Linked DNA regions of Danio rerio. The main gene of each other region encodes a partner of the protein of the gene in region 4 in a complex. Links are inferred from orthologs where the notes say so. Each region holds a gene or a part of one and is shown on either strand. Other genes may lie near its edges. The genes, in order: exosc5, exosc6, exosc4 and exosc3.

What was found.
Region 1: exosc3 (region 4) and exosc5 share a complex: the UniProt entries of both Homo sapiens proteins name them as parts of the RNA exosome core complex. The link is inferred for Danio rerio from reciprocal best matches to the Homo sapiens genes EXOSC3 and EXOSC5.
Region 2: exosc3 (region 4) and exosc6 share a complex: the UniProt entries of both Homo sapiens proteins name them as parts of the RNA exosome core complex. The link is inferred for Danio rerio from reciprocal best matches to the Homo sapiens genes EXOSC3 and EXOSC6.
Region 3: exosc3 (region 4) and exosc4 share a complex: the UniProt entries of both Homo sapiens proteins name them as parts of the RNA exosome core complex. The link is inferred for Danio rerio from reciprocal best matches to the Homo sapiens genes EXOSC3 and EXOSC4.

Annotation. Positions count from the first base shown.
Region 1 is NC_133193.1:38,982,926-38,988,526, reverse strand, and holds the start of exosc5 (exosome complex component RRP46), read left to right. Parts: upstream 1-1,886; 5' UTR 1,887-1,890; coding exon 1,891-2,020; intron 2,021-2,159; coding exon 2,160-2,273; intron 2,274-4,731; coding exon 4,732-4,853; intron 4,854-5,601. Other genes in the region: bckdha (2-oxoisovalerate dehydrogenase subunit alpha, mitochondrial), read right to left, coding at 1,467-1,580. UniProt on the Homo sapiens protein: Non-catalytic component of the RNA exosome complex which has 3'->5' exoribonuclease activity and participates in a multitude of cellular RNA processing and degradation events.
Region 2 is NC_133182.1:29,203,392-29,207,812, forward strand, and holds exosc6 (exosome complex component MTR3), read right to left. Parts: upstream 2,401-4,421; coding exon 1,585-2,400; 3' UTR 1,460-1,584; downstream 1-1,459. Other genes in the region: slc38a8b (putative sodium-coupled neutral amino acid transporter 8), read left to right, coding at 2,144-2,553, 3,327-3,388. UniProt on the Homo sapiens protein: Non-catalytic component of the RNA exosome complex which has 3'->5' exoribonuclease activity and participates in a multitude of cellular RNA processing and degradation events.
Region 3 is NC_133177.1:2,087,453-2,092,911, reverse strand, and holds the end of exosc4 (exosome complex component RRP41), read right to left. Parts: coding exon 5,316-5,459; intron 2,727-5,315; coding exon 2,367-2,726; 3' UTR 1,539-2,366; downstream 1-1,538. UniProt on the Homo sapiens protein: Non-catalytic component of the RNA exosome complex which has 3'->5' exoribonuclease activity and participates in a multitude of cellular RNA processing and degradation events.
Region 4 is NC_133189.1:58,544,589-58,550,244, forward strand, and holds the start of exosc3 (exosome complex component RRP40), read right to left. Parts: upstream 3,371-5,656; 5' UTR 3,360-3,370; coding exon of another isoform or gene 3,126-3,359; 5' UTR 2,614-3,125; intron 2,419-2,613; 5' UTR 1,733-2,418; coding exon 1,460-1,732; intron 1,007-1,459; coding exon 855-1,006; intron 1-854. Other genes in the region: tcerg1a (transcription elongation regulator 1a), read left to right, coding at 4,075-4,121. UniProt on the Homo sapiens protein: Non-catalytic component of the RNA exosome complex which has 3'->5' exoribonuclease activity and participates in a multitude of cellular RNA processing and degradation events.

The DNA.
Region 1 (5,601 bases), on a different chromosome or scaffold from region 4:
CACCTGTTTCCTTTTTTGTAATATAAAGGTGTATTGATAATGCCAAGTTGTACTTTACTATATGTTCAATAAAAAATAAATGAAAAGTAAAATTAACAAAAAAGTTGCCATTAAACAGGGATAATAAGAAGAAACTTGACTGTACAAAAAAAAAAAAAAAACAATACAGAAGCTTAGCTACTTGTCCTGATGGGTAGCTTTGTAGGTTATCAAGGTTTCTACAGGTTTCTCAAAGTCAAATTTAAGACTTTTTAAGACCTTTTTAAGACCCTTATGAATGAAATTTCAGACTTGTACAGGACTAAACCGTAAAGATTTGTGCTTGCCTCATTAAAAAAAAATCTAATTACTTAATACTTAAATGTGTCAAAACAAGCAAACCATACATACTTTTCTTTGACAAGCTTTAAAAACTTTATTAACCTAAATGTACAATAGTCTTTTTAAGGTCAGTGTCCCCGCCACATATGGTCTACAAATCCCCGGAGAACATAAAAAAGTTATTATGAGGAACCATATTGTTAAATAGAGTTTTGTTAAAAGTTTTATTGGGGTGTGTTATTGGTGAGTGTATACTGTATACAGGTGTTGGCCTGATTTGGGAAGCTTTACATGGATATTAGAAAATTACAACCTATTTGTAATGATTTAAGACCTACAATTCAATATTTCAGCAAATTTAGAACTTTTTAAGGACTAAAATTTTATTTTGAAAATGTAAAACATTTTAAGACTCTGTGGATACCCTGTCAAAGTAACTTCCCCAAAAACTGGCAGGGAATAAAGTGAATTACCCTAAGCTAGGGATGTACACTGCATAAAAAGTTAATTCTCTTTAAATTTGTGTGTATGTGGTTTGCATATTGATAAAGTCACATATTCGCATGAGAAGAATTTACTATCACCTGTAATTTAAATGTGCACAAGACATTAGCTCATAATTAAGATCCACTTTAAATATGAAACAATTTAATAATGCAAATAAGTTGTAAAATGTAAAGATTTTTTAATGACCCATAACAGTCAGGATTAGTGTTGTTTTTTTCATCCACACGCCCCCTTCAACTAGCCAATCAGCTCTGAGTATAAATCCACAGACATGTGAAGGTTGAAGGATCCATTAACTGTTACCTACAACAATCTTCAGACATCTGACCACTAGTTATTGCATTTAAAACAATCATGACCATGTGACATTGAGCACTATTTCTTTTGTAGGTCAGATGAGGAACACCTAACTTATACATTAGCATTTACATTATTAAGACAGTTCAGTAGCTTTTATGTTTGAAACTAGCATAAAACGTCTTTATACAGATGTTGTTAATATTAGTCTCATACAATTCTAGGAAATGTTTTCGGTCTCCCACGGCTACACACACTTCATACAACCTGAATGGCAAGTTTTGCTAATGTTAAAAGTCCGTTGGTGGCGTATATGCAGCTGCCATAAACGTAAGACTTACATTGACGCGGAATCCCCTTTGTTGGAGAAGCGTTGTTGCTTTTAATGCTGTGTTTTGACGAATTGCATGAAGCCCAATGCCATATAATTTCTTCACAGCTCTAGCAGCCGCCATCTTTACGTCAAGTGCGTGTCTCTAGCGTCTTTTCCCTCCTCGTCTCTGGAAATCCAACACACTGCGCCCCCTACAGGAAAAATGTTACTCCTCATTTTTACGGTTTTGTCTGAGAAATGTATCCTTTTATGTACATTTTAAATTTGATTGGGGTCACGGTAGTGTGTATAACTAAAAGGAACAAGCAGAAACGTGCTTATAAAGTCGCTATACATGTGTCATTACATCCTTAATTCCGTTAGAGGGCGTAAGTGCACTGCTAACATGTGTCATGTCGTCATTATTGTGCGCTCAAAACAATGACCCATTTATGGATGCGACGAGCAGATTGTGCATGAGGACCGAGATGGAGCTGGAGCGAAGTTGTCCAGTTTTAAGAGAATATGGAAGTGAACAGAGTTTGTTATCAAGACCTGACGGGTCGTCCACGTTTGTACAAGGTAATTTATAAATGTTTAATGTAATTTATTTCTTTACTCATGTCATAGCAGTTATTTATCTGTCAGGCCAAAGAATATCCAGAGATCTATTCCATTCATTTAAATATGTATCGTTTTGAATTTGTAAATGTGTTTTTAGGGGACACGAGTATCCTGGCTGGAGTTTATGGACCAGCTGAGGTTAAAGTCAGCAAGGAAATATATGATCGGGCAACTGTAGAGGTCCTTATACAGCCCAAAATGGGGCTTCCAAGTATGTTTTTAAACAGTTTTATTTGCAGCCATATTTTGACAGTAATTGCATTATTTATTAATATTTTTTAATAAAAACGTGTACATGCAAATATATATATTTAATCGCGTCATTGGAATGGAGTTTAGTTTTAATTAATTTAATGTTATATGTCATGTTATGACAATATTACAAATTTATAAAAAATTACCTTTATCTTCAACAAATCAACATATTTGAAAGATTTTTTCAACACATTTCTAAACATATTAGTTGTAATAACTCATTTCTAAAAATGGATTTATCTTATCTTTGCCATGATGACAGTAAATAATATTTGACTAGATATTTTTCAAGACACTTTTATCCAGCTTAAAGTGACATTTAAAGGCTTAACTAGGTTAATTTGGTTAACTAGGCAGGTTAGGATAATTAGGCAAGTTATTGTATAACGATAGTTTTTTCTGAAGATTATCAAAAACAAAAAAAAACAAAAAAAAAAAAAAAAAAACAAAGAGACTAATAATTTTGATCTTAAAATTGTTTTAAATAATTTAAAAACTGCTTTTATTCTTGCCGAAATAAAACAAATAAGACTTTCTCCAGAAGAAAAAATATTATCAGACATACTGTGAAATCTGTTAAACTTCATTTGGGAAATATTTTTAAAAACAATCAAATGGGGGTTAATAGTTCTGACTTCAACTGTACATTTACACTACTGGTCAAAATTTTGGGGTCAGTAGGATTTTTAAATGTTTTAAAATAAGCTTGTTCTGCTCACCAAAGCTGCATTTATTTAAACAAAAATACAGGACATATAGGACAATTGTGATATGTTATTGCACTATAAAATAATAAATTATATTTTATATAAAATCATTTATTCCAGTGATTTTACACATAAATTGTCAGCTTCCTTTAGTCTTCAGAGTCATGTGATCTTTCAGTAATCGCTCTGATATAAATTGTTATTATTATTGCTGTTATTATGGGGGTAATGGTAATAGTAATAAAAGTAGTAAAGTCTGGAATAATAACTTCATTTGAAACTACACACAATAAGAAAGCAGTTATTAATTAATTTTTTTTATTTTTTTTTACTTAATAAATGCTGCCTTGATGAACAGAATCATTTTCTTTAAAAAAATCGATATGAAAAAGTGTGTGAGATCTACATGTCTACATGTATATTCATCTATTTATTTTTTGCTTTGTATTATTATCATTGCACTGATGTTGGATTAACTTAAATCTGTCTGCATTTAGCATATCAGCTATAATGTGAAAGACTGATACAGATAATTAATAATTAAATAATAGAAACGCATTGCACATCTTTTGAACAATCTAAAGTTTTTACAAAATAACAAAATACAATATATATACAAATATCAGGCATGAATCTTTTATGTGCATTATGCCAGTTGTGCACTGGAAAAGCAGCTGGTGTGCACCATTAGTTTGGGTTAGTTTGGGATAAAACATCTTTCTTGTTCAAAAAAAAAAAAAAAGATTTAGTTTTTTTTTTTTTAAAGCAGAAATATGTATAATTTACAGATAGCAAACTGCACTGGCTTTTTTCGGTTATTTCAGGAAAGTTCTATTATAGCAAAATTGTTTAGTGTTATTAAAAGAAAATCCCCTAATCACCTTTGAACATTGTCATATTGCTTTTTTTTGTCTTAAAACGTGCCTCTCTTAAAATGTTAGACATTTGAATTTTGAATGGATCCAATCTATATTCAGTTCAATGAATTTAACTGAGTAAAAAGTAGCTTGTACTGTATGCAGATGACTAATATTTTGATATATTGGCATGCATTTCTAAAACATTTCATTGTTTCTTAAGTATGTGAAGTTGTTGGACACATTTCCTTCTGCTTTTTTGAATTGATTTATTCAAAACTGTTGGACTTATTTACAGTATTTAAGGCAAGTATGTTAGAAGTAACTGCAATTAAATTACCCATCCATGAAAAGTAACCTACTACTTTACATTTTCAGTACAAAAGTAATTACAGTAACACGTTACTTTGTAATTAATTACACCTAATATGTCCCAGACCAAACACTAGCCACTTTGTTACTAGTTACTAATTACACCCAATATAACACAGACTAATGCAACATAAATATGAATTGTTTGTCACTTTTTTATTTAATATAATATAAGAAACAATTACCTACATGAGTATAAACTGTTTAAAGGGAGTCTTAAAACTACATGTCAGGAAGAAAATGTTATGCCATAAAAAATGTGTGTCGTTTATGTAAATTGTTTTTATTTAGTCAGTGTTTTATTATTACTAATTATTATTATTATTAATGTTTAATAATACACATATACAGCTCATACTAGAATAGTAAACATAGTTATAATTGCATGGCCTGCACAGCCATGTTTCAGCATTAGGTGTCAGTCTGGTACAGTATTTTTTTAAACTTCCTCATACTGTGGTGCGATGTGTTGTGTTAGGTGTCCGCGAGCGAGCGAGAGAGCAGTGTGTCCGTGAGACTTGTGAAGCTGCCCTTCTGTTGACCCTTCATCCACGCTCTTCTCTCACGGTCATCCTGCAGGTCGTCCACGATGATGGATCTGTATCCTCAACACCAGCAAAACTCTTCTTTATAAATGCAAAATGAAGAGGGGGCAAATATGATGTGTCCGTGGTTTTATTGTTTGAACTTTTTAGTCACTTACCGTTGAAGGGAGGAGTTTGTTTTGAATATTTAGGGTTGAGTATTAAAGATTAGTATGTTTTATTACAATGAATGTATTAAAACGAAAAAAGTGGCAATATAGACTAAACGTACAAAAAAATTGAAGATTTGAATAATTGGCTTCTTTTAATACTCTTCAATTTTATTATGTTTTAACGCTTGTTAGGAATGTTTTCATCCACTCTGGGGTTATTTTGAGTCTTAATTTGGCCACAACTTGTTTCAGCAAGCGGAATGATTTTGGTGACATTTTATTTTGACAAATTTTTGCAATTTAAAAAAAAAAAAAAAAAAAAACCTCAACAATAGACTCAGCAGGGCAAGTTTACTACACTGGTCCTTTTCGTTATGTTAGTGGCTGTTTTTGCCCTATTGATTTCCATTATAATGACATTTTTTTGATTGCAAAGTCATGAAACCATATTGTTATGCATTCTTGATTGGTGGTGGTTTTTCTCTTTTGAGAAGAGGTACAATTAGTAATTTTTACTGTTGGCCATTAGTTGCAGTGTAAAAAAAGCATTAGTTTCTGGCTTTTATATAGAGTATTGTGTGAGTGTAACCAAGTGTAAGAGCACCTTTGCGTACTTACCTTGATATGTCTGAGAAAATTAAAATAAGCATC
Region 2 (4,421 bases), on a different chromosome or scaffold from region 4:
TTGGAGCACACTAGATTACAGATATCATTAAGACTAACATACCGATAGTAACATCTAAACCTTTTTTTTTTTATTACTGATTCATTTTCAGTTCTTTAAACAGGATTCCCACACTTCCACAAACAGCAAATTCAAAGACTTTAAAGTACTTTTTAAAGCACCATTAATTTTAAATAAATCGCTGTTGTAAATCATACACCAACTGTACTTAGTATTTCACTTAGACTTGTTGTTAGATATTTATGCTTAAATGTAGTAATTTTCAAAAATGAATCGTTTTTAACAGTCATGTTTTTTTTTAACAAATCAAATCATTATGTGACAATAAAAGTGATTTGATTTGGATGTTGAAAAAAACTTGAATGTGCATTAATTTGTCAGTTTTATTGTGCAATATTGAAATGAAAGAATTTAAATTTCTCAGTGTTTTGTTCTGTTTTGAATTTATTTGTCTGAAATTCAAGTACTTTTAGGAAGCGTGGTAACCCTGTTTAAAGGGGCAGTTACCTCATAAATAAAAAAAGTGCTGGTTGCTCATACTTGGGTTATCCAAGAAGTAGGTGTCTACTTAATTAAAGATGTCCTATGGTGATTCAAATAATAGTTCTAGTCACGGCCACCAACACAGAGTCTGTGCATCTTGCAGAGATTAAGGTAATATTCTTATAACATTTACTTTCTAGCACAGAACAGTTGATTCATTTCATAGAAACCCAAAGAACCACGGGTATTAACTTGTTTTGCCTGTGTTTTTCAGACTATGAAAGTGCTGCAAGCTACTGACTTGCATTTTACGACTGACCATGGGCAATGGCTTCATCTAAATATCTTAAATATTCTACTAAAGGAAAAAGCCATCTAGACCAGAGATGCCCAAACTACGGCCTGCCATCCTATCTGAGAAGTGAGGGAGAATGATGAAAAGGTTGGTGCCATGCCGCGCGCTTGTCATTTCTAATTTTAATGTAACCTTTTGTTTGTTCATTTAATTGTTGGGTTGCAAAAAAAGCAACTGAAATTAAAAGTTTCACTTAAATGTTGTGCATGAATCACATTTAAAAAAAAAAAAAGTAAGAGTCCTTGATGAGCAAATCAAGTGTCCTGAATATATTCAGCAGTGAACATTATTGTTATAAAGAGGATTGTTTTTTTATTGTAAGATGTTCATTATAAAATGCAAAAAAGATATAATTATTAATGATTTCAGTATTCTTTCAATTTATTTTAAATATTAATAAATAAGGTAATTACCATGGCAACTGTAATGTAATACTTTGGTTTATTTAACTTCAGCTCACCACCTATAATCAACTTTTTTGGCCCCTCATAAGAAAAAGTTTGGGCACCCCTGATCTACACCATGGATGGCATTGAGGGTGCGACAGGAGATTTTCGTTTAGGGGGAAATAATCTGAATACAAAATCAGCAACACCACTGAAATGAACAAATACAAGATCATAGAGGAGATAAAACTGCAGAGGAGTTTATTTAGTTGGTTCGACATTATTACACATTTAAATGTACAAAATTTCAACAATTGTAATCATTTTAACTGTTCTCAAAAAGAAGCGCCAAACAAAAGTCTATTTCTCAGGCGGAGGCGCTTTCTTCTTGACAGCCCGCGTCAGCGCTTGTTGAACCACCGGGTAGAGTTTATGACAGCCGTCCATGCAGGTTCTCATAGCCTCGGTCAGAGTGTCCTCCCGCATCTCCCCGTCCGCATTCAGGCCAGACACCTGATTCAGATTGGGAAGCAGAGCCAAGGTGACGCACCCCTGGTTGTCTCCGTAGCCCTCCTGCCAGCTCCCGCACTCCTCGGCGTATGACGGGTCAACGAGACACGCGTTTCCGCTCTGCCGCAGCGTGCAACCCAAAACAATGTCGTACATCTCGATACCGGCGTCCGCCAGGGCCATCGAAGCGCAGGTCACCGCGTGCGCCAGAACCGAGCCGTCATTCTCCAAAACCATGACATTCACGTCAATCTGAGAGCGCGGGTATCTGTGTAGGCAAACTCCCGGCCGCAAGCTCTCCATCAGAGTGGCGGACAGGTCTCTCTCCTCGCTGCCCTGGATCCAGGCTCCCCGTTTCACGCAGGAAAACGGCGCGAGCCTGAAGTCGCAAACCAGCCGACCGGTTTTCATGTCCGTTTCGTCCCTTCGTTCCGTTTCCTTCGGCCCGTACACCGAGCAGATGATCTTGGTGTTTCCAGCCTCGATGTACGCGGAGCCTTTCGCCTGGCTGACTAGCCCGCAGCGCGCAAACACCGGCCGCACATCTCCGTTCCCGCGGACGCCCTGCCTGCTGCTGGGGGCTTTAGGGGCTTTGTCCGGGGACAGAAAGAGCAACGGGGACTGCGACTCTTCCGGTCCACGAATACGTTTTGTGTCAACCGGCATTTTTAATAAACCCACGTGTTTACGAGAGCATAGCTTACTTTGCAGCGGTGAAACTACTCAGTCTTCCTCGAGGAATCAAATGCTTCGGGATGCTGCAATCAAATGCTGTTTGCGCGCTGCTGCCCTCTGCCGGATAGGGATAACGTGGCAAATGTGCTGTGGCAAAGACATTATGCTTTGTTAGATGTGATGTGCATGTTTTAAAGTCAGGAATGAAATAGTTCATTTGACAGACGTAATGTAGACCTAGTTTAGCCATTTTTCAACACGTTGGATATTACTATTTTGCTGCAGTGTAGATAGTCGAACACTGATGTGACTTGCAGTCTGCAACCATAGCTCAATACACGGTGCTGTTTGTATTATTACTTTTGATAGGCCTGAAGTATGCAGAGAAACATCCTTCACACCATTAATAATGTAAATACCAACTGTTGAAATAATGTGGACATTTTACAATAGCAGCAACACAACGAACAGTCATTTCCCATTGTCAGACAGTCAAGACAGATAATTAAGTTGGACAGAAGACATTTGCCCAATACAGAATCAAAATGATAGCAGTTACACGATACAGCATATAGAAGCAACATAGCAGCACAAATTAACAAACACACACACACACACACACACACACACACACACACACACACACACCATTACACTACTAGCTGGCTAAACTGAAGATGCGAGACAGGATGGATCCATGCATTAATGTTGTTTAGATCAAAAATCTGACTCCACAAAAGTTGTAGCAGAAATCAAGACTCACCTAATCAGTTTTTCAAGCTTCCTTTGTCCAATTTCGGTAAACCATGTTAGTGTTAGGTTAAGTTTGCTGTTTTGCTGACAGGAGTAGCATCATGTTCTCTTCTGCTGCTGTAGCTCATCTGCTTCAAGGTTTGACATGTTGTGTATTCATTCAGAGATGGTCTGCATATCTTGCCTGAAGAGAGTTATTTGACTGTTGCCTTTCAGCTCAAAACAGGTAAATGTCCTCTGACTTCTGCCATCAACAATGCATCACATCCCTTTCCCTCAAAGTCGGCATGACTAAATGCATTGAGTTTTCTACTGTATGTAAATAGCTCGTTTAATTTTTGAGTGGCAGTTGAGTATATACAGTGCTCAGCATAATTGAGTACAGCCCAATTTGAAAATTTGTAATTTTATCCATTTCTCAGTGAATATAGGCAATGAATCCTGGTGCTTTTAAACAAAACAGATTTAATAAACAGAAATATGTATTAAAATAATATATTAGTCACAAAACATATTTAGAAGTTAAAATATTATACAATTAAATTCAAGTGAAACATTAAAAAATTAAATTACAACCTACACAATTTCAACAAAATTTATTTATTTTTTGCTTCTCTTGATTTTTCCTCTTTTTAAAATTTGTATTTAATATTTTTCTGTATCATAAAAAATTTGTTATTTTGTTGGATAGGCTTCAGAACTGACTAATCTATTGTATATGCACAAATATAATATTGTACAGCTTCCTATTACAAATATGAATTTAAAAGAGAGATTTGTGAGGGGTGTACTTATATAAGCTGAGCACTGTAGGTTTAGGCTAATTACAATTGTACAGTCCATGGGCCTCTCTAGCTGGATCTTATAAAAATACTTAATCACAATGAGTGAAACTCATGAAACTTGGCTATATGCAGGGGCGTCGCCAGGGGGAAAAGGTTAGAACGATTAAGAACTATGCAGGGAAGATGCACTCTTTTTGGACCCCCAGAGTTACTATTTGGGGGCCCAATCAAACTGGCAACAAAAAACACCCCAAGCACCCCCATATGTGTGTTTTCTTTTTGGCTTAGTCCCTATATCAATTCAGGGTTGCCACAGCGCAAAAAGGCCAAGTCACTTCATTATTCCGGGGTCGCCACAGTGGAATGAACTGCCAACTTATTCAGTGTATGTTTTATGCAGCGGATGTCCTTCTAGCTGCAACCCATTACTGTGAAACAATGTCCCCCAATGTCCACCACTACGCTCTTCAGTTC
Region 3 (5,459 bases), on a different chromosome or scaffold from region 4:
GTTCAGTTTTTAACTCGTTCCGGTAAGAAAACGGTGCTTCAAATTCCACATCGGCGACCAGAAATCAGCCAAAATGTCCAGACACGAACTTGTTAGCACACGTTGGATCCACTCGTAGTTCTCATATAGTAAAGGGGAACTACCGGCGCTTTAACTTCCTTATTGATAGCCTACATACTTTCTGTGAATGACGCCATAACCCAGCATCACGTCATCATTTTACAGGGGAGAACTTGTAAAATTTGTAAATTATGTAATATTTTCCTTTAATTTGTGATGATGTATATACCCCTACATGTGTTTTCCAATTTAATTCTTTTTACTGTATTGGGATTGTATTTGTGCATTTTTCATACTCTGATAAAATAGTTGGGTTAAAAATACCCCAACATTAAACCCAACTATGGGGTATTTTAACTCAATGCATTGGGTTATTTTAAATACATGTTTTTTTTTCATTCTGGTATTACTCTATTACTATTACTACTATTAATTTTATAATTATGATAGTGTAAATAAATAAATGTCTCCGCTGGGTGCTAAAGACAACAATATTATTGCGTTAAGAGCTTAAATAAACTTTAGAATGCAAAAACAACATTAAGCGCACATATTAATACAGCTGTTCTGTGTCAGTTAAATCAGTTGACTGTTGAAATTAAAAATTCTAACCCAACTGGTTGAGTTATGATATAAATAACCCAACAAAGTACATACTATTTAACCCAACTGGTTGAGTTACTATTAAATAACATAATAAAGGTTAAAAATAACCCAACAAAGCACATACTATTTAACCCAACTGGTTGAGTTACTAATAAATAACATAATAAAGGTTAAAATAACCCAACAAAGCACCAAATATGTTTAACTTAATTATTGGGTTAAATAAATAACTCAACGTTTTTTTAGAGTGTAACATTTGAAACAAAGTTATATCTGAAATGTAAACTGTAAACTTAAAATTGTACAAAAAGCATTTACAAGCTGTGATACTTGCCAAAGGCGGCAGTTCAAGATATTATAATCAACAAAAAAACGTTCTGAGAAGGTTCTCTTTTGGTTATAAAATAGATCCCAAAATTAACCTACAATGAACGTTCTGGGAAGGTTCTCTCAAGGTTATGAAAAAAACCTAAATAAAACCTAGAGGGAATGTTCTGGGAAGGTTCTCTGTAGGTAATAAATTAACCATTGAAAATAGCCTGCAGAGAACGTTCTGGGAAGGTTATATTTTGGTTACCAAAAAAAAAAAAAAAACCTACAGAGAACGTTCCCAGAATGTTTTTTTTTTTATTTTCTGTTATTTTGAAAGTGTAAATGATGGAAATAAAGTTTAACTTTTTTGACACATTAAAAAAATGTCTAATCTGTAATTTAAAGCCTTTTGGAGATTTTTCCATCTTGTCGTGGCTTCTTTATGCACATTAATTCAAATTTTTACCTGGGGCGCCCAAACTTTCGATCCCCACTGTTTATTAGGAGTACTAAATCTGATTAAATAATGGTTAATTTGATAAAACACAAAAGGAAAAGTGTTCATTTGTTAAAAACATACCATTGTTTTATTACAACTCTCTCACAACAGAGGACATTATTATAACAAAATGTGTTCAGCGCTTTTTAGGTGGCATTTCTTCTGGATAAGCTGATATATAAACTTATTTTTTTCTGTGTCTATCAATTCTGTGTGTTTTTCAGTCCAAGCGCATGCTTCAGACACTAAAATGAAGAATAAATGACTAAAGCATTTCCTATGGAGTCAGATCAGTCTCAAAAATAATACATTTATGAAATGATATTCATACATGCATAGCGCAATTCACATTTATAAAATTAAGTTCGTAAATTCAAAACACAATTCATAAATACAACACACAGTTTATAGATTCACAAGTAAAAATCATAAATATTTTCGCCAAATGAACTGGATTTGTGTATTTTTTAATTATATTTAAACTTGTGAATTATATTTTGTAAATGTGTTATTTCTGAGACTGATCTAACTCCATACATGTCGATCAAATCTGTTTTTTTTTTTCAGTCCAAGCGCATGCTTCAAAGATTAAATGAATAACAAATTAATAGAGCATTTCCTATGGAGTCAGATCAGTCTCAAAAATAATTAATTTACTAAAAGTTCATACATCACAATTCACAATTACATAATCCAATTCATAAAATCAAAACACTATTCATAAACGCAACACACAGTTCATGAATTCACCAGTGAATATCATATATAATATTTTCACCAAATGAATTGGATTTGTGTATTTCTGAATCATATTTAAGCAAATTATATTTTGTAAATGTATTATTTTTGACACTGATCTGACTCCATAGATGTCCATTAAATCTCCATCTCAATCTCTGGTCAGATCTGAAACCTCCTCTAGATGCTGCCGTACGACACTGTCTAGAACTTTACTGAACTCTTTGCACGCCGTCATGGCCGCCTCCATCAGTGTGTCCAGGTGGTCCTGATGGAGCCGGGCGTCCATTTGCAACAGGGCAATATTTCCACTACGAGGCAGCAAAGCCAGAGCCAGCGCTGTTCCTCCACCGCTCTCCTCTGCATGACACAGATCTGCCAGCGGGGTGTCCTCCACAAACCCAGCGCTGCACGCACACACATAATCGCGCATGGGGATCCCAGCGTCCACTAGAGCCAATGTAGCAGCATTGACACACGCGCTGTAGTTTCCACCGTCCGCCTGCAGGATCTACAGCGCAGGACAAATCAAAGACATGGTGCTGTTGTAGTCAGTTACATGTAATGTGAATTGTAATAGTATTTAAAGTGTCTTTGGAATCTTGTCATGTACTGCAACTGTAATAATATGAGTTATAGTTTGATCTGGCTCTTACGTTCAACAGAAAAAATTATCACAATAATTTAAAGCCAATATGCATGCATGGATGGATGGATTGATGGATTGTGGGTGGATGGCTGGGTAATTGGGTGGAGGACGAATGGATAGTTGGGTGGATCCTTGGATGGAGTCGGTGGGTGGATGGATGGATAGTTGCATTTATGAATGGATAGTTGGGTGGGTGCAGGAATAGCGTTGGGTAGATGGATAGATAGTTGGGTGGGTGCGTGGATGGATGGATAGTTGCATGAATGGATTGATAGTTGGGTGGGTGCATGAATAGCGTTGGGTAGATAGATGGATAGTTGGGTGCGTGGATGGATGGTTGGACGGATGGGTAGTTGGGTGGATGAATGCAAAGATAGATGGATGCATGTATGTTGGATAGTTGGGTGGGTCCATGGTAGAGTTGAGTGGGTGGTTGGATTGATAGTTGGGTGGATGGATGGATGAATGTATAGTTGGGTGGTTGGATGTATAGTTGGGTGGGTGCATGAATGGAGTTGGATGGGTGAATGGATAGGGAGTAGGTGTGTGGATGGATAGTTCGGTGGATGGATGCAGAGATGGATGGATGAATGGGTAGTTGAATGGATAGACGAATGGGTAGTTGGGTGGATAGATGGATGGATAGTTGGGTGGGTGCATGGATGGAGTTAGTTGGTTGTTGGGATGGATAGTTGGGTGGATGGATGGATGAATAGTCGGGTGGATAAATGGATGAATAGTCGGATGGATGAATAGTCAGATGGATGGATGGATAGTTGGATGTATGGATAGTTGGGTGGGTGCACAAATGGATTTGGGTTGGTGGATAGTTGGATAGTTGGGTGGGTGCATGAATAGAGTTAGGTGGGTGGATGGATGAATAATTGGGTGTGTGGATGGATGGGTAGTTAGGTGGATGAATGCAGGATGCATGTATGATGGATAGTTGGGTGGGTCCATGGATGGAGTTGAGTGGGTGGTTGGATGTATAGTTGGGTGGTTGGATGTATAGTTGGGTGGGTGCATGAATGGAGTTGGATGGGTGAATGGATAGTTGGGTGGGTGTATGGATGGATAGTTGGGTGGATGGATGCAGAGATGGATGGATGGATGGATGGGTAGTTGAATGGATAGTTGGGTGGATAGATGGATGGATAGTTGGGTGGGTGCATGGATGGATAGTTGGGTGGGTGCACAAATGAATTTGGGTTGGTGGATAGTTGGATAGTTGGGTGCATGAATAGAGTTAGGTGGGTGGATGGATGAATAATTGGGTGCGTGGATGGATGGATAGATGGATAGTTGGGTATGTGGATGGATAGGAAGGTGGGTGTATGCTGGATGGAAAGATAGTTGGATGGGTGCATGGATGGAGTTAGGTGGTTGGTGGGATGGAAAGTTGGTGGTTGGATGGATGAATAGTCGGATGGATGATGGATAGTCAGATGGAGGATGGAAAGTCGGATGGATGAATAGTTGGGTGGGTGCATGAATGGAGTTGGGTGGGTAGACGGATGGATAACTGGGTGCGTGGATGGATAGTTGGGTGGATGGATAGATAGATGGATAGTTGGGTACGTGGATGGATGGGTAGGTGGGTGTATGCTGGATGAATGAATAGTTGGGGAATGCATAGATGGATGGACTGTTGGGTGGGTAAATGCATGGATGGATAATTAATTGGGTGGATGAATGGTTGGATCGATAGTTGGGTGGGTGGATGAGTTGATTGACAGTGGGGTGTATACATGGATGGATGGATATTTATGTGGATGCATGGACAGTTGGGTGGATGAATGGTTGGATCGACTGTTGGGTGGATGGATGCATGAATGGATTGTTGGGTGGGTGGATGGACTGTTGGGTGGGTAGATGAAGGGTAGGATTGATAGCTTGGTGATTTTATGGTTGGGTGGGTGGATGGATGAATGGATAGATAGTTGGGCGGATGCATGAAGGGATGGATAACTGGGTGGATGCATGGATTGATGGCTGAATAAATGCATGGATTGATAGTGGTGTGGGTGGATGGATGAATTTCCAGATAGAATCCAGGGAGGATGTATGGTTGGACATATGACCAACTGAGCAGATGGATGAGTGGATGAACAGATGAAGGCTTGGACGGATGTGCTTGAATGATGATGGACGGATCGATTCATGCATGGATCACTGGATGTTAAGATGTGTACAAATATGTGAATTAACTTATGCATGGATGGATGCACAGATGGATGCATGTGTGGATGATTTGGTATACGTTTTTAAAAACATCCAAAGTGCACTCAGTATCAATATACAATATGATTTACGGTGATGGATGAATGAAAGCACAGATGCATGGGGGCATTTAAGAATAGATCAACGACTGATGCAGAGATTGGTGGATGCAAAATTGGGCAGGTGAGTGGATGGATGATAAACGGCATGAACGTAAAGAAGTCCATGTACCTTGACGTAGATGTCGATTTGTGAGCGTGGGTAGAGCTCAGTGAGCACCGCAGCCTCAAAGGTCTGTTTGAGGTGGAGGCTCATCTCGCTGGACTTCCGGTCTCCGTGTGGACGTCTCTTCCTCTCCGCCGTGCTGAACGTGGC
Region 4 (5,656 bases):
TTGGTGTGCGTTTTCTGATCAGTAGTGTGTGTTTTCTGATCAGTAGTGTGTGTTAGTGTGCATTTTCTGATCAGTAGTGTGTGTTTTCTGATCAGTAGTGTGTGTTAGTGTGCATTTTCTGATCAGTAGTGTGTGTTTTCTGATTAGTAGTGTGTGTTAGTGTGTGTTTTCTGATCAGTAGTGTGTGTTAGTGTGTGTTTTCTGATCAGTAGTGTGTGTTTTCTGATCAGTAGTGTGTGTTAGTGTGCGTTTTCTGATCACTAGTGTGTGTTTTCTGATCAGTAGTGTGTGTTAGTGTGTGTTTTCTGATCAGTAGTGTGTGTTAGTGTGTGTTTTCTGATCAGTAGTGTGTGTTAGTGTGTGTTTTCTGATCAGTAGTGTGTGTTAGTGTGTGTTTTCTGATCAGTAGTGTGTGTTTTCTGATCAGTAGTGTGTGTTTTCTGATCAGTAGTGTGTGTTAGTGTGTGTTTTCTGATCAGTAGTGTGTGTTATAGTGTGTTTTCTGATCAGTAGTGTGTGTTAGTGTGTGTTTTCTGATCAGTAGTGTGTGTTAGTGTGTGTTTTCTGATCAGTAGTGTGTGTTAGTGTGTGTTTTCTGATCAGTAGTGTGTGTTTTCTGATCAGTAGTGTGTGTTTTCTGATCAGTAGTGTGTGTTAGTGTGTGTTTTCTGATCAGTAGTGTGTGCTGGCTTGACCTGTCCTAATACACCAGACACTGTGTTTAAACACTCGTCCGCTTCACAAGTGTGTTTCTATAACTCTTATTTTCCCTGCTGCCTGTGCTGTTGAGTGTGTGTGTGTGTGTGTGTGTGTGTGTGTGTGTGTGTGTGTGTGTGTGTAGCTGTAGGTCAGACCTGCGCACGAGTCCCAGCGACACTTTAAAGAGCAGCCCGTCGCCTCCGAACACACCCATCCCGTTGGCTCTCCCGCAGCTGTCGATACACACCAGCTCCGGCTCCATGTCCTTGTTGGCGATGGTGAACTGCCCGAACACCAGATCTCCAACCTGGAGGAGCAAACAGCAGCGTTAGGAGGACTCATACACACCGAACACGACTTTGCTGGGTTGTTTTCCTCCACTCTGGGTTGATGTCGAGTCTTCATTTGTCCTCTTTCTCTGTGTTTCAGTAAATGTGATGATTTCTGCTGAATAATCTGAGTCTGACACACATTATGGGGAAATGCTGTGAGAGTTTTCATAACTCATCAACACACTGTTCACACTGTGTGTGTGTGTGTGTGTGTGTGTGTGTGTGTGTGTGTGTTCACACTGACTCTGCTTGGTTATGTTGTCTGTTGTTGCTCCATTCACTTCCATTATAATCACAGTTATTGACGGTGAAGCCCTGACAGCAGATCATCCTGCATTACTGACTGCTGCTGCTTCCCTGTGGGTCGATCTGTCATTTCACTGTTGATCATGAGTTGTTGCTGCTGGAGTGGCTCTGTCATCATGTACCTGCACGTTGGGTCTGTTCCTCTTGGTGGCTCCTTCAAAGGCCAGGTAGGACAGAGACGCCTGCTCACTTCCTCCAACGTCCACTTTGAAGACGTCTCCAGACTTTGCGGTCACGATGCCGATCACACTCTCACCCTTAGCTGGAACATACTGCAGGAAAGAGCAGAGGTCAGTCCGGAACACCTTCAGCACAGATAGAGGAGCACCACGACACATCCTGACCTGTGCAGTGTTAAAAAGGGCCAGTTCACCCAAACATGAACACTCTGTCATTTATTCACCCTTTACTTGTTCCAGACCCGTTCAGAACACTAATAAGATATTTAGAAAAATGCTGGAAACCTGGAGCCATTGTCTTCCATTTGTTTTTCCTACTATGGAAGTCAATGGTTACCGGTTTTCTGCATTCTTCAAAGTATCTTCTCTTGTGTTTGACAAAAAAAGAAACATGTAAAGGTTTAAAAATACGCTGAGAAAGGGAGTAAATATTCATTCTTGAGTGAACTGACCCTTTAAGATGACTAAAATAAATGATTTATATAGACCAAACGTAGTATACAGCTCTCTATCTCTCTCTCTCTCTCTCTCTCTCTCTCTCTCACTCATATATATATATATTTATTTAGTAGGGTTGGGCGATGTCAACCAATTTGGCAGTAGTGTGTGTTATTGTGTGTTTTCTGCCTAGTAGTGTGTGTGTTAGGTTGGGTTTTCTGCCTAGTGGTGTGTTTTTTTTTTTCCAGTAGTGTGTGTGATTGCGTGTTTTGCCTAGTAGTGTGTTCTAGGTTGTGTTTTCTGCCCAGTAGTGTGTGTTATTGTTTGTTTTCTGCCCAGTAGTGTGTGTTAGAGTGTGTTTTCTGCCCAGTATTGTGTTAACGTGTGTTTTCTGCCCAGTAATGTGTGTGTTCTGCCCAGTATTGTGTGTTATTGTGTGTTTTCTGCCCAGTAATGTGTGTTTTCTGCCCAGTAGTGTGTGTTATTGAGTGTTTTCTGCCCAGTAATGTGTGTTTTCTGCCCAGTAGTGTGTGTTATTGAGTGTTTTCTGCCCAGTAGTGTGTGTTATTGTGTGTTCTGCCCAGTAGTGTGTGTTAGGTTGTGTGTTCTGCCTAGTAGCGTGTGTTATTGTGTGTTTTCTGCCCAGTAGTGTGTGTTACTGTGTGTTCTGCCCAGTAGTGTGTGTTACTGTGTGTTCTGCCCAGTAGTGTGTGTTATTGAGTGTTTTCTGCCCAGTATTGTGTGTTATTGAGTGTTTTCTGCCCAGTAGTGTGTGTTATTGTGTGTTCTGTCCAGTAGTGTGTGTTAGGTTGTGTGTTATGGCTAGTAGTGTGTGTTAGGTTGTGTGTTCTGCCTAGTAGTGTGTGTTATTGTGTGTTTTCTGCCCAGTAGTGTGTGTTATTGTGTGTTCTGTCCAGTAGTGTGTGTTAGGTTGTGTGTTATGGCTAGTAGTGTGTGTTAGGTTGTGTGTTCTGCCTAGTAGTGTGTGTTATTGTGTGTTTTCTGCCCAGTAGTGTGTGGTATTGTGTGTTCTGGCTAGTAGTGTGTGTTAGGTTGTGTGTTATGGCTAGTAGCGTGTGTTATTGTGTGTTTTCTGCCCTGTAGTGTGTGTTAGTGAATTTTCTGAACAATAGTGTGTGCTGGCACATGTTGTGTGTGTGTGTGTTCTGACCCGTCTCTGCTGACAGTTGACCCAGTACATGTTGGGTTGTTTGTGTTTCAGGACTCCTGCTCTACACACACGGATCTCCGCTCCGCTCCGCCGCAGCCCCGGGCCGCAGATCAGCCTGTCCGCTTTCGGGTTCGCGTCTCCGGCTTCAGGAGGACTGAAGGAGAACAGCAGATCGCCTGGAAGAACCACATCTCCTATCCTCTCCAGCAGACTAGTGTGCACTGAGGAGTCCATGATGGAGGAGCGGAAAACACACACAAACACACGTGTCTGAGCACTTCCGGCACGGGGACTCTTATCCTATACAAATTAACTCATTAAAACCTCTCCAACCCTTTATGTCCACAACAGAAATATATTATAAAGATTTTTCTAAAAGCATTCTTAATATCATTCGACACCGGTAACCATCGACATCCATTATAAGAAAATAAATTCTATTGAAGTCAACAGTTAACGTTACTGGTTTCCAACGCTTAAATAACTTGTGTTCAACTGAGACATGGAATTAAACCGGTTTGGGACATGTAACGTTAACGGTTGAGTAAGTGATGGCAGGATTTATTTTAAGGAGATCTACCCCATTTATTAATATTTAGTCTTTGATTGTTTTTAAAAACGAAATATAATTAAATCGTAAAAACAATCAATAAATCAAAAACTGGATAAAGAGAGGGAGAACGTGCTAACATTCCAGCTAACACAAATCTTCCCCTTTAATTTAGGTTATTTTTGGGACTAATTAAACTAAAACTATAACTAAAATAACTTTAACTAAATAGGAACGTTCTGGTAACCAAAACTGTTGGCCAAGTTACTGGACTATACCGAAAAATGCATATTTTTTACCAGTTAAGTTAAATAATTCATACTGGAAATAAAAGTCACGATGTTTCAGAAGTTTGAAAACCGCTGAGCGGGAAATGGGGACTTTTGTGGCATTTCCGTTATGGCGGAGCACACAGAGGCAGAAGGCATCGGCCTGGCTGCAAACAGGTGCAGTTTTCGCTTTATTTTTCCCTCTCAGATAAACACAGACCCCCGGTTATCATTCGCCTTAGTTTATCCCGAAACTCCTCTGGGCTTCGTCTCCAATAAGGCAGATTTGAGTGGGTTTTAGCCTCGTCTGGCCCGTCGGAGGGTGGACAATGAAAGCAGCACAGCAGCAGTCGCCTCACTGTGTTTATATCGCAGTTTCCGCCGAGAATAAGAGCTTGAGGACACACACCGAGTCTCAGAAATAACCCTGTCAGTGTGTAGAGGGTGTGATGTGGCTGTGAGATCAGCTGGACAGTGTGTTTATGATGGAGTCAGTGCTTCAGATTCAGGTGTACTGTAATGAACACCTTCAGCAATGCAGGAGTCAGTGCAGACACTCCTCCATCATCAGTATCTGGGGTTAAAGTGTGTGTTCTGCTCGTCTTCAGCGTGTTTATGGTGTGTGTGTATCTGTTATTAACAGTGTTGGGGAGAGTTTCTCTCGAAAGTAACGGATTACAGTGTCGCGTTACGGTGTTTTAATGCAGGTGATGTGCTGTGAAAAGGCTGGAACTTTGCTTTTGGCTGAAAATGAGTTGTTGACGCTTTTGGGATATGCAGGATTTCCTTCAACACATGGACATGTTCCTTGAGCCACTTGTGTTTTTTTTAATTGTCACATTGCCAGTTTCCTAACAACAATTATTTGATTTAAGTAATTTTTCCTCAGTGCTACAGTAGAGCTGCACATGATGCTATGATATGACTCGCTGCCTGTCATGTTTATGGTGATATGTATCAGGCATGGGCTGGTATTAGTTTCTGACCGTATGATAACCTTGGACATAAATATCACGGTTTCACAGTATCATGTTATTGTGCTCACTGCTCTGAAATATTTACTTTTTAAATCTCTGGTTAAAAAACTAAACTTTTTTTTCCTTTTTTAATATATATATTCTATTTTGGGAAACATTTAAAATATTTTAGAGCAGTAAACATGTCAGGCTAAATCATTTTAATGAATCATTCACTTCTGCAGTCTTTGTTTTTTTATAAACACTAATATTTTTCCAGTTTAAAACAGAATCTTTGATTATATTTTCTGCTGGAGATACTGCTGTCCTTAAAAACAAAACAAAAATTAATAAAAAAAAAAAAGAAATCTTATTTATACCTTAGGAACGGGATAGCGGAAAATTTTCATGGTTTTAAAACCTTGACTTTCCCAAACCATGGTATACCTTGAGTCGTCCCATGCCAAATATATATATATATATATATATATATATATATATATATATATATATATATATATATATATATATATATACATATATATATATATATATATATATATATATATATATATATATATATATATATATATATATATATATATATATATATACGAGCAATTCCGTGCAAATGTCAACCTTGCCATGAAGAAAATTAAGTTTTCCTCAAAATACCGAAACCGTTTTTTTTTTTTTTTTTGGACAAGTATTTTACAGTACAAACTAATCTATTTGATTTAGCAAAGTCATACAAGT